Linked DNA regions of Mus musculus: region 2 is reported to be linked to region 1. The links are microRNA targets in miRTarBase. Many come from high-throughput screens and were not tested one by one. Region 1 holds a microRNA gene; the other region holds the end of a gene's coding sequence.

Region 1 (4,664 bases):
ACAGGTAGGATTTACCCAGATTTTAACTCGGTTTCTAACATTAACAAATCATCGACAGACTCTCTGGTACAGGAAAGCTTAGCATTTATACCAAGCCCTAGGCTCAATTCCTAGCATCAAATAATAAATAAATAAACGAATGAAAATAAAAATAAAGATATCAAAGGATATAAATTATGTTGAGACTGAGAAAAACACACATTAATACAAAATTCAATTTATTAACTTATAATAAAAAAATCAATTCAAGGTGATAAGTTATCTACACGTAAAAGTGTAAGTAAATGGAGAGAGAATGGAGGAATAGAAAAGGGCTGGGGGTGGGGAGGAGAAACTGGGAGGAGTTGAAAAAGGGGTGAGTATTATCAAAACAGATTTTATGAAATTCTCAAACAACTAATAGAAAAATAAAAAAAAAAACCCGCATGCATTGAGTTTAAGAGGACAAATAAAACCATGGAGTTTATGACCAGCCTATGAAAAATGCTGATAAGCTTATCTCAACAAAATTAAATATAACTTAGTTATTAGAATAAATAAACTAATAATGTAAGATATGGGCAAGGATAAGGAGCAAGTAGGTGATCATAGTTTGCTGAGAAGAATGAAAAAAATAATCCATTACTTTTGGGAAAAGGTAATACAAAGTTAACTACACACCTCTTATGATGTAGCAATTCTATCTTATAGATATTATGTGTAAAAGAAAGACTGCTAAGCCATATAAATATTTGCTTATTATTCAAACCTAACCTAGAATCATTTTTACATACAAAATGAGTGAACACAAAACTTTTGCTACAATTATAAATAAAAAAGTTGCTTAGAAAAACAACACTATCGTAAAACTATAAATACAAAGAATAATGTCAACAAATTCAACAACAAACCAGGCTGAAGAAGCCAGACAAAAAGAAAGAACATAAATATTCTGTTTTTTCTATTATATGACAGTCTACGGAAAACCAAGGCCAAGAACCAGCAGCTCATGAAGACTAATACATCAATATTGATTTCTATCTTATTAAACTAGTAATCTTGCCATGTGCCTAGGAAAAAGGGATCCTAGAAAAGAATTTATCAGGTACAAGTGTGTCTCAACTCTCATTACTGTTTCAACAACTGTTCCATATAGAATTTGGACAGAGAAAGAAACATGGGGAGTTCAGGACCACAAACAAAAATCACCTCACAATTTATAGAACTAGGTGGGGTTGCTCACAGTATACCCGAGTGCTGTGTGCCTCTCAGTTCCTATAAAGGCTCCTTTTCTCCTATCCTCCCACCCAAACTTTGACTCAAACACTTCACATTTTGTACTAAGAAGCAAAAACTTTCCTTGGAAATGGTCATTTCCAAACTTTGGCTATAGACTTAAAAGAACACACATCTGTATTTTGCTTTTTTATTCAACATAGGGGACTCATGGCCTTGGACTAAAGGCAATTCTCCTGCCTCAGCTTCTCAAATGTTGGGATTACAAAGGTATGGGTCCTAGTATGTAGCAAGAAATCAATTTTTAATACAAAGAACTTCATAGACACTTTCAATAGTCCCTTCGTATACAAAATGTTGATAGCCCAAGATTAATTAACTCAACCCCTAAAAAAAAAAAACCCGGCAATTCTACATACATTACACATGCTAGTTACAGATTTTTTTTTCAAATAAATAAGCCAATAGTAATAACTATTTTCAAAAACTACCAACCAGCCTGTATTTAAATAGTAGAGGCAGGAATTCCAATCTAGGAATGTAGGTGATGTGAGTCTTTATTTTAAAGAACATTAAGAAAGGGTCAAACCACAAACAATCAAAATCCATAAAATACTTCAAAATGCTTGAAGAAAACTTGGGTTTTTTTTTTGTTTGTTTGTTTGTTTGATTCTATAATCTAGTATAATTTAATCAGCAGAAATATTGCATAAATGATAAACAAAACAGTATTTAGAGGGGAAATTCAAAAGGTTGTATGGAGGGGAACGATCGGACTTAGCCAGCTATCCTAAGTCAGACAGAGACCTCCATGTTGATGTAGGATTGCTGCCTTCTGCAGACAAAAGACAGCTTCTCATTTGTCTGCATGGTTGACTCCGCAGCTTCCATTGTTAGTGTGATTTATTCTTAATATAACATTTGTTATAGTCTTTTATATTCCAATTTTCTTTCTGTATTTTTATATTATTCCAACTTCTAACTGCTTAGAATTCTCATAATAAAAAAGAACCCTAAAAAGGCACATTTAAGAAAGAAAGGCAAAGGATTTCTAGTCAGAGAGAAGAAGTCTAAAAGTATATATTTGGTTGTATTTTCCCTCTGTAATTAGTGCTTGGATTTCCCAAAGAACATGTAACAATGGGATTATAATACAATAAACATATTTTTGTAGTGAGATGAAGCAATTGAAAGTATAGGTATTTTGCTTATGATATATTCTTGAAATAGGACTGGTGGTCAAAATATATAAGCTACAGTTACTTTTAAGTAACAAGAAACTTGTCTCAATAACGGGTGCCAAAGGTAATAGTAATGCCTATGACGATGGGAAGTCATTTGGTAGTAGTGTATGTAGACAGGCTAAGAGAGATGGAAAACTCATATAAGTAATATAGGTGGGCAAGGGAAAAAGAACAGGAGAATACAGACAAAACCAGAACAATTGAAAAGATGGATATATGAGACACCCAAAGAAAGAATTATTGTACTTGGTAAGTAAATGGAAGATAAAGATATACAACAAAGCTGATTCTATGGCACTTGCCTTAAATGACATGACATAAACCAGAAGGAAACAAGAATGCTAACACATCAAAGCTGAAAATAATCAACTGACATGTTGTGATACACTCTTTCTCTCCTACAGAAGATACTCTTAGAGTTCGTCCTTCTCTGATTTAAATTCTCAATGCTCAACTGTCTTAAACACGCTCTTATTTTTGTTATTTAAATTTTTAATTAATAAGCTAGACTTTAAATTGTTTAGATAAGTATCAATTAAAAGGCACAGGTGAAGAACGTGTAAAACTGACGTACTAGGGCACTTCATTTCACTAGTTTGGAATGTGGCCCATGTGTTAAGAGGCTTCATCTATTGGTGGCATTTCTGTGAAGCAGAATATTTGGCAAGCAGATCTTGGGGATTGGGATGCACTGTTAGGTCATTGGGGATATTTTCTCAGACAGAACAGTAGACTCTGGTCCCCTCTTCTGCCTGTTTTGCTTCTTAGCCATTAAGAGAGCACTGCCATCTGGCATGCCCACAAAAGTTACAAGATAATCCATCAGACCAACCTTTGGCTGCAATCTCTAAGCCTGTGAGCCAAAATATATCTTTTCTCTTTTAAGCTGATTATCTCAGACACTGGGCTACAGTGACAGAGCACTGACTAAATAAATGATTTCTGATAACAAAATTCAAAGTAGCCACAGATTATTAAAAAAGAGAGCAAAAATTCTTTTCTAGGTCTTAAAATTTTGATTGACAATGTACAGCAATCAAATGAAGAGCATATCAGAAACTGAATATGAACGACTAAATGAAACAATTTCCTAGAATCTAACCTGCAACAAAACCTTGCAGGTTTACAAGACAGCAGTGACCAGTTTTCTCATTTTTTCCTGGACACTACAATACAAATCACATAATTTACAAAAAAAAAAAAATACTCATCTGTGTCAGTGTGTAGTCAATAAACTTGTAAGCACAAGTCTGTCTTCTGTCAAACCAGTTTAGTTTGGTTGATCCAGTGTGCCCGATATTAAATCAATCCTGAACCTGGATAAACGTGTTTTTACTTTACCCTCATTGTCATTTCTGGGTACATTCCTATATAGGGCTCCACAGTTTGCTCTAAATGCCCCTTGGAGGGTCACTGTGAAAAGTTTGGTCCCTCAGGTAGTTCTACTGGGCATGGTGAGGTTTTAATAGTGATGTTAAAAGGCTGTCAGGTTGTAGGAGTCTGCCTGAGATGGACCAGAGGTCTCATCTTCAGAAACTTTGAGGTAACAAGCATAAAGCTAAGAAACTACAATTTTAAATACATATTCCAGGTAATTATGAATTCTGACCCAGGCAAAGCATAGGCTTTGGATGCTATGTATAATGTGATGATGTTGAAAATTCTATGATACTGAACTTGGAACAATAATTTGCATTTTCTGTTTCTGAAAGTTATCAGCTATTACGTTAAACTTACATCTTATTGTGTAATCACTGGAGGCATCACTGGTAGGCTTTAAACAAGCAAGATAATTCAAATAAGATTTGCTATGAATAAGGGCATAAGGTCAAGGGAATGATGAGAGCCTCAACCAATGGGAGATGGGAGGGTCTGAAGGCATACATATTTAAGGTACTTAAAAGGATCAAATTAGTGCACGCATGTGTATCTTTCTAAGATCCTAGTCTCTAATAGTTTTAACTGAGTCTTTAACTACATTGATTTTAAATTGAACAAAACTAAAATTCCAGGCTTTTTCAAGTGGTAGAAAACTATTATAATAACATAATACTGTTTGAATGTCTGTAGCAACTTCATTGTTTCATGAGTGGAAGGTCATAGTGGCTTGTTTCTTCATATATGTTAGTGGAATTATTGGAGAACTATTTAGCACATACAAATATCATGGCACAAATTCTGGATTGCCTAAATATGCTCCCCATA
Region 2 (3,756 bases), not on the chromosome of region 1:
CGAAACCTGCTATTAGGCCGCCCTTCCCTAGAGCAACTAGCCCAAGAGGTGACATATGCAAACTTGCGACCATTTGAACCAGTTGATGAGTCAAGTGCTTCAAACACAGATTCTTCAAATCACCCGTCAGAGCCAGATTCTGAGCATGTTCACTCTGAGTTCTGAGGGATGTACAGATGCTCTGTGCAGATGTGGGGGCAGCCTGTTATAGGCTTATTGTCTACGCAAAGAACATATTTTTGGAGAAAAATGATATGGGACAGGCTTTCACAGTACAGCCCAGGCTGGCCTCAAACTCATGGTTGGTCCCTCTGCTTCAGCCTGTTTTGTAATTACATAGATCACCAAACCTAGTTGCTTTTCCCTTTACATTTTTTCCCCTTATAAGTTCTTTAAAATTATAGCTTACATTTTTTCTTTTTTCTTTTTTTTTTTTTTGTATTTTTTCTTTTTCAAGACAGGGTCTCTCTCTGTGTAGCACTGGCTGTCCTGGAACTCACTCTGTAGTCCAGGCTGGCCTCCAACTCAGAAATTCTCCTGCCTCTGCCTCCCAAGTGCTGGGATTAAAGGTGTGTGCCACCACGCCCCACTGGGCTTTTAGTTTTTATAGACAAGATTTCTCCATGTAGACCAGACCAGCTCTCCTGAGTGCTGAAATTAAAGGCACGGGACATCACTACCTGGCTTTCTTATTAAACTTGTTTTAGTGGTCTCAAAATTCACTACCTGGCTTATTAATAGTCATTTTTTTTTTTTTTAAGTTGACTTGTTCTTTAGGAAAAGGAATTACACCACAGTGAATGTAGCTGAATTCATTGTGCTTGCTATGTGCTTGGTACCATTTGAAGCAGTGTACCTGAATTAACATACTTAGTACTTTAAGAAGCATTGGCCTTTACCTTTGAAGAAAGGAAGACAAAATTTACCCAAAGGCATCTGGGAGTTGACAATTTGAAATCTGTTAGATTTAAGGTCCTGTATCCTGCTGCTTGTAATTTTCAGACCCACCAACACTAAAGCTGAAGAATTATAGCTTACAACTTATGTTAATGCCAAGTGACTAGGGTGACCAGGTACTAACAAATGCACAAGGTAGATTTTAATTTACAATTTACTTATTCCTATTTGTAGCCAGCAAGTTGCTCAGCATCTTTGGCATCAGAATAGCACTACTAAATAGGGAAGCCAGATGGCTTACTTTTGCATAAATCAGCTTAGTGAATGGTAACTCTCTAAGCCATTGCTGAGTCATAAGCCTTGAGGTTTTCTGCTTTCTTGTATTTGTCCAACTCCATCACATCTTCCTTCTATTCATCCTATTTTTATCTCTACTATCACTCTATCCCTTCACCCTTTATTTTGAAATCTAGTTAGGGATAAGACCAGGGTAGGGTCAATTGCACAGGTTAGGTCTGAGAATGGAGAACCAAAAATCTAGCTTAATGCATACAATGGGCCAGAGGGGTTGGCTCGGGGAGCTCTGATGAAATACAACCTGGCATTATGTCCTTAAACGGTCAGCCCTGAGTAGTAAGGAGGGGGGGGGGTGTCCTTTTCAAACTTTTGCAGTGCTTATGAACCCAAGGTTCACGCGATGCTCCTTCCATGTTGATTTAAGAGTGAATTAAGTGGAGATGAGCTCAGTAGTAGTTAAGCTGCTTGGGACTAGAAATGGGGGTTCAGTTGGTAACATAGTCTCCCATGCAGTAAGTCTTACCAAATAAACTGGGCACTGGTATGCATCTATAGTTTCAGCAGAGGCTCAGTTTAGGGACAGTGCAGGGGAAGCAAGACCCTATTTAGTACTCCACCTATCTCGAGTACACTTCCTGCTTGCCCATATTTCCTTCTCTTCTCACTGGCCTAGTTAAGTGTTTATGTACCTAGTATTTCTCAGGACCTCCTTAAGATTGAGGGCTCAAGCTAGCTTTTAAGATCTCACAAGCACATCTATGTGGTAGAGCACTTTTGAGATGGTCTCACCCCAGGACACCCCCAAATATAAATTATGTAGCTGAGGATCTCAAGTTCCTAATTGTCCTGTTCTTGCCAGTGGGCAATTTGTCATTTTTGTCTTGAGCAAGCAAGCCTCTAAAAACTTGAGATAAGGACTTGCTATTCTTGAATAATTGGATGGATACATGAGCCATTCTGGAGACTACCAGCAATTTAACTATGTCTATCTTTGCCTCCCAAGTGGGAGGATTAAAGGAACAAGCTGCCATCACCACCAGGCAAAGAAAATCAATACATTTTGTGTAACATTAACACCATAGCAGGGTTTCTGATTGCTATGAATTAAAGCTACATGTCTATGAAATTAGTCTCATCTTAAAGTCTCTTAAATGGCCAGGCAGTGGTGGCGCATGCCTTTAATCCCAGCACTTGGGGAGGCAAAGGCAGGCGGATCTGAGGCCAGCCTGGTCTACAGGGTTCCAGGACTTGAAAAACCAACTCTTAAATGTTTTTAGTGCCAAGAAAGAGTAAAATACCTATCTAGCATATAGACTAAATTCCTGCCATCACAGAAGCCTCTTGACCCCTGTTCTGCTTGCTTCTGCCATCCAAAAGGCAGCACTTAATTGCCAAAGCCTTCAGACAGTGTTGATTTCCCAGGACGGATCTCCAAGTGTGAATAAAAATCCTGACCTCCATAAACCGTGGTGCATGCACAGTATAAGCCAGGCTTTCTAAATCACTAAGCTTTTATCGTAGTCCTGGTTGAAAACTTTATTGCTGGCAATGGGTAGCAGATGCTATAAATTTTAGCTCAGAAAGCAACAATGGACAAGTAATAGACACAGTTTGGGTAGAACCTAGCATTTTATTTAGATCTTCATTAAACTGTTGGAATTGAGAACCAGACATACGTAATAAACCTCCAAAAAATAGATCCTGAAAGGCACTTTCTTGCTTAGGGCAAGCAGTCATGGAATAAGCATGTAAACAAGCTGGCTTCTCTGTACCACACCAGCCAAGTCAGCTTTCTCCATGGCCAGCTGCACCAGCTCTGCCCTCCCTTCTGTTAACACCAGCCAGACCCCCTGTAGGTCTAACCCAAGGTTTTTCTGTAGGACACCTTGGCCTACCTGGGAATGCTGGAAACATGTTAAAGGAATTCATGGTGTTGAAGAAAAAAAAAAATCTTTTAAAAGCTGCCATCTGAGGTGATGGCTTCTCTGTACTTACGCCATACCCCAGAATACAATAAATAAGCAATTAGAAAATGTTCAAGTATGAAGGGATTTCCTCCTCCCCGCCAAAAGCACTGCTCTCTGAAGGAAGCTGGTTTCTCTGTAGCTACACCAGCTGTTCAGAAAGCTCATTGGACCTGGTTTTGAAAATAAAACAAAGTTAAAACCCTGGGAGGAGCTATTGTGCAGTGTGGAGTACTCTTTCTTATAAAGAAAAAAAAGTTACCTGGTACCAAAGTGTGCAACCTACAGACCCTCAGGTACTGCCCTGTGACTTCTCTGTATATCACAAGGGTGCCAAATGCCTGTTTTTCTAGACTAAAAGTTGGTGAGGTTTGGCTAGTGCTGAAACCATGCATAGGGTTGGTTTACTAAATAAAACCTTATTACGTACGTCCTCCAAAGACAGCTGAAAAGTGGAGAGATTTTGATTTGGTGCTGTTTGAGGTGGCAATTAATAGCATAAGCACCAGGGAGATGGTTTAATCGTAACTGCCTTTTTTTTTTTTTTTTTCAAAGTCAGGCTAGAGCTCCAACTGAAACTTTCGTTTCATGCAAGATT

What was found. Region 1 holds the annotated microRNA mmu-miR-1843b-5p (AUGGAGGUCUCUGUCUGACUU, at 2,008-2,028, opposite strand). A microRNA usually pairs through its seed, bases 2 to 8, with sites in the 3' UTR of a target mRNA and lowers its output. Matches are read on the target gene's strand: a 7mer-m8 pairs with bases 2 to 8, a 7mer-A1 pairs with bases 2 to 7 and ends in A, and an 8mer does both.
Region 2: miRTarBase lists Ggcx as a target of mmu-miR-1843b-5p. Seed matches in the 3' UTR shown: 7mer-A1 at 518-524.

The regions. Positions count from the first base shown.
Region 1 is chr1:159,337,726-159,342,389 of GRCm38, reverse strand. It overlaps Mir1843b (microRNA 1843b), which reads right to left and starts at 2,032; the gene lies at 1,967-2,032. The region is part of intron 18 of Cop1 (COP1, E3 ubiquitin ligase); the gene reads right to left. It also overlaps Scarna3a.
Region 2 is chr6:72,429,992-72,433,747 of GRCm38, forward strand. It overlaps Ggcx (gamma-glutamyl carboxylase), which reads left to right. Exons shown (of 15, transcript NM_019802.5): 15 at 1-1,115. The coding sequence ends at 165. Mat2a (methionine adenosyltransferase II, alpha) reads right to left here. Exons shown (of 9, transcript NM_145569.5): 9 at 2,805-3,756. Among named protein-coding and RNA genes, the nearest start is that of Particl, 6.8 kb to the right of the region's middle.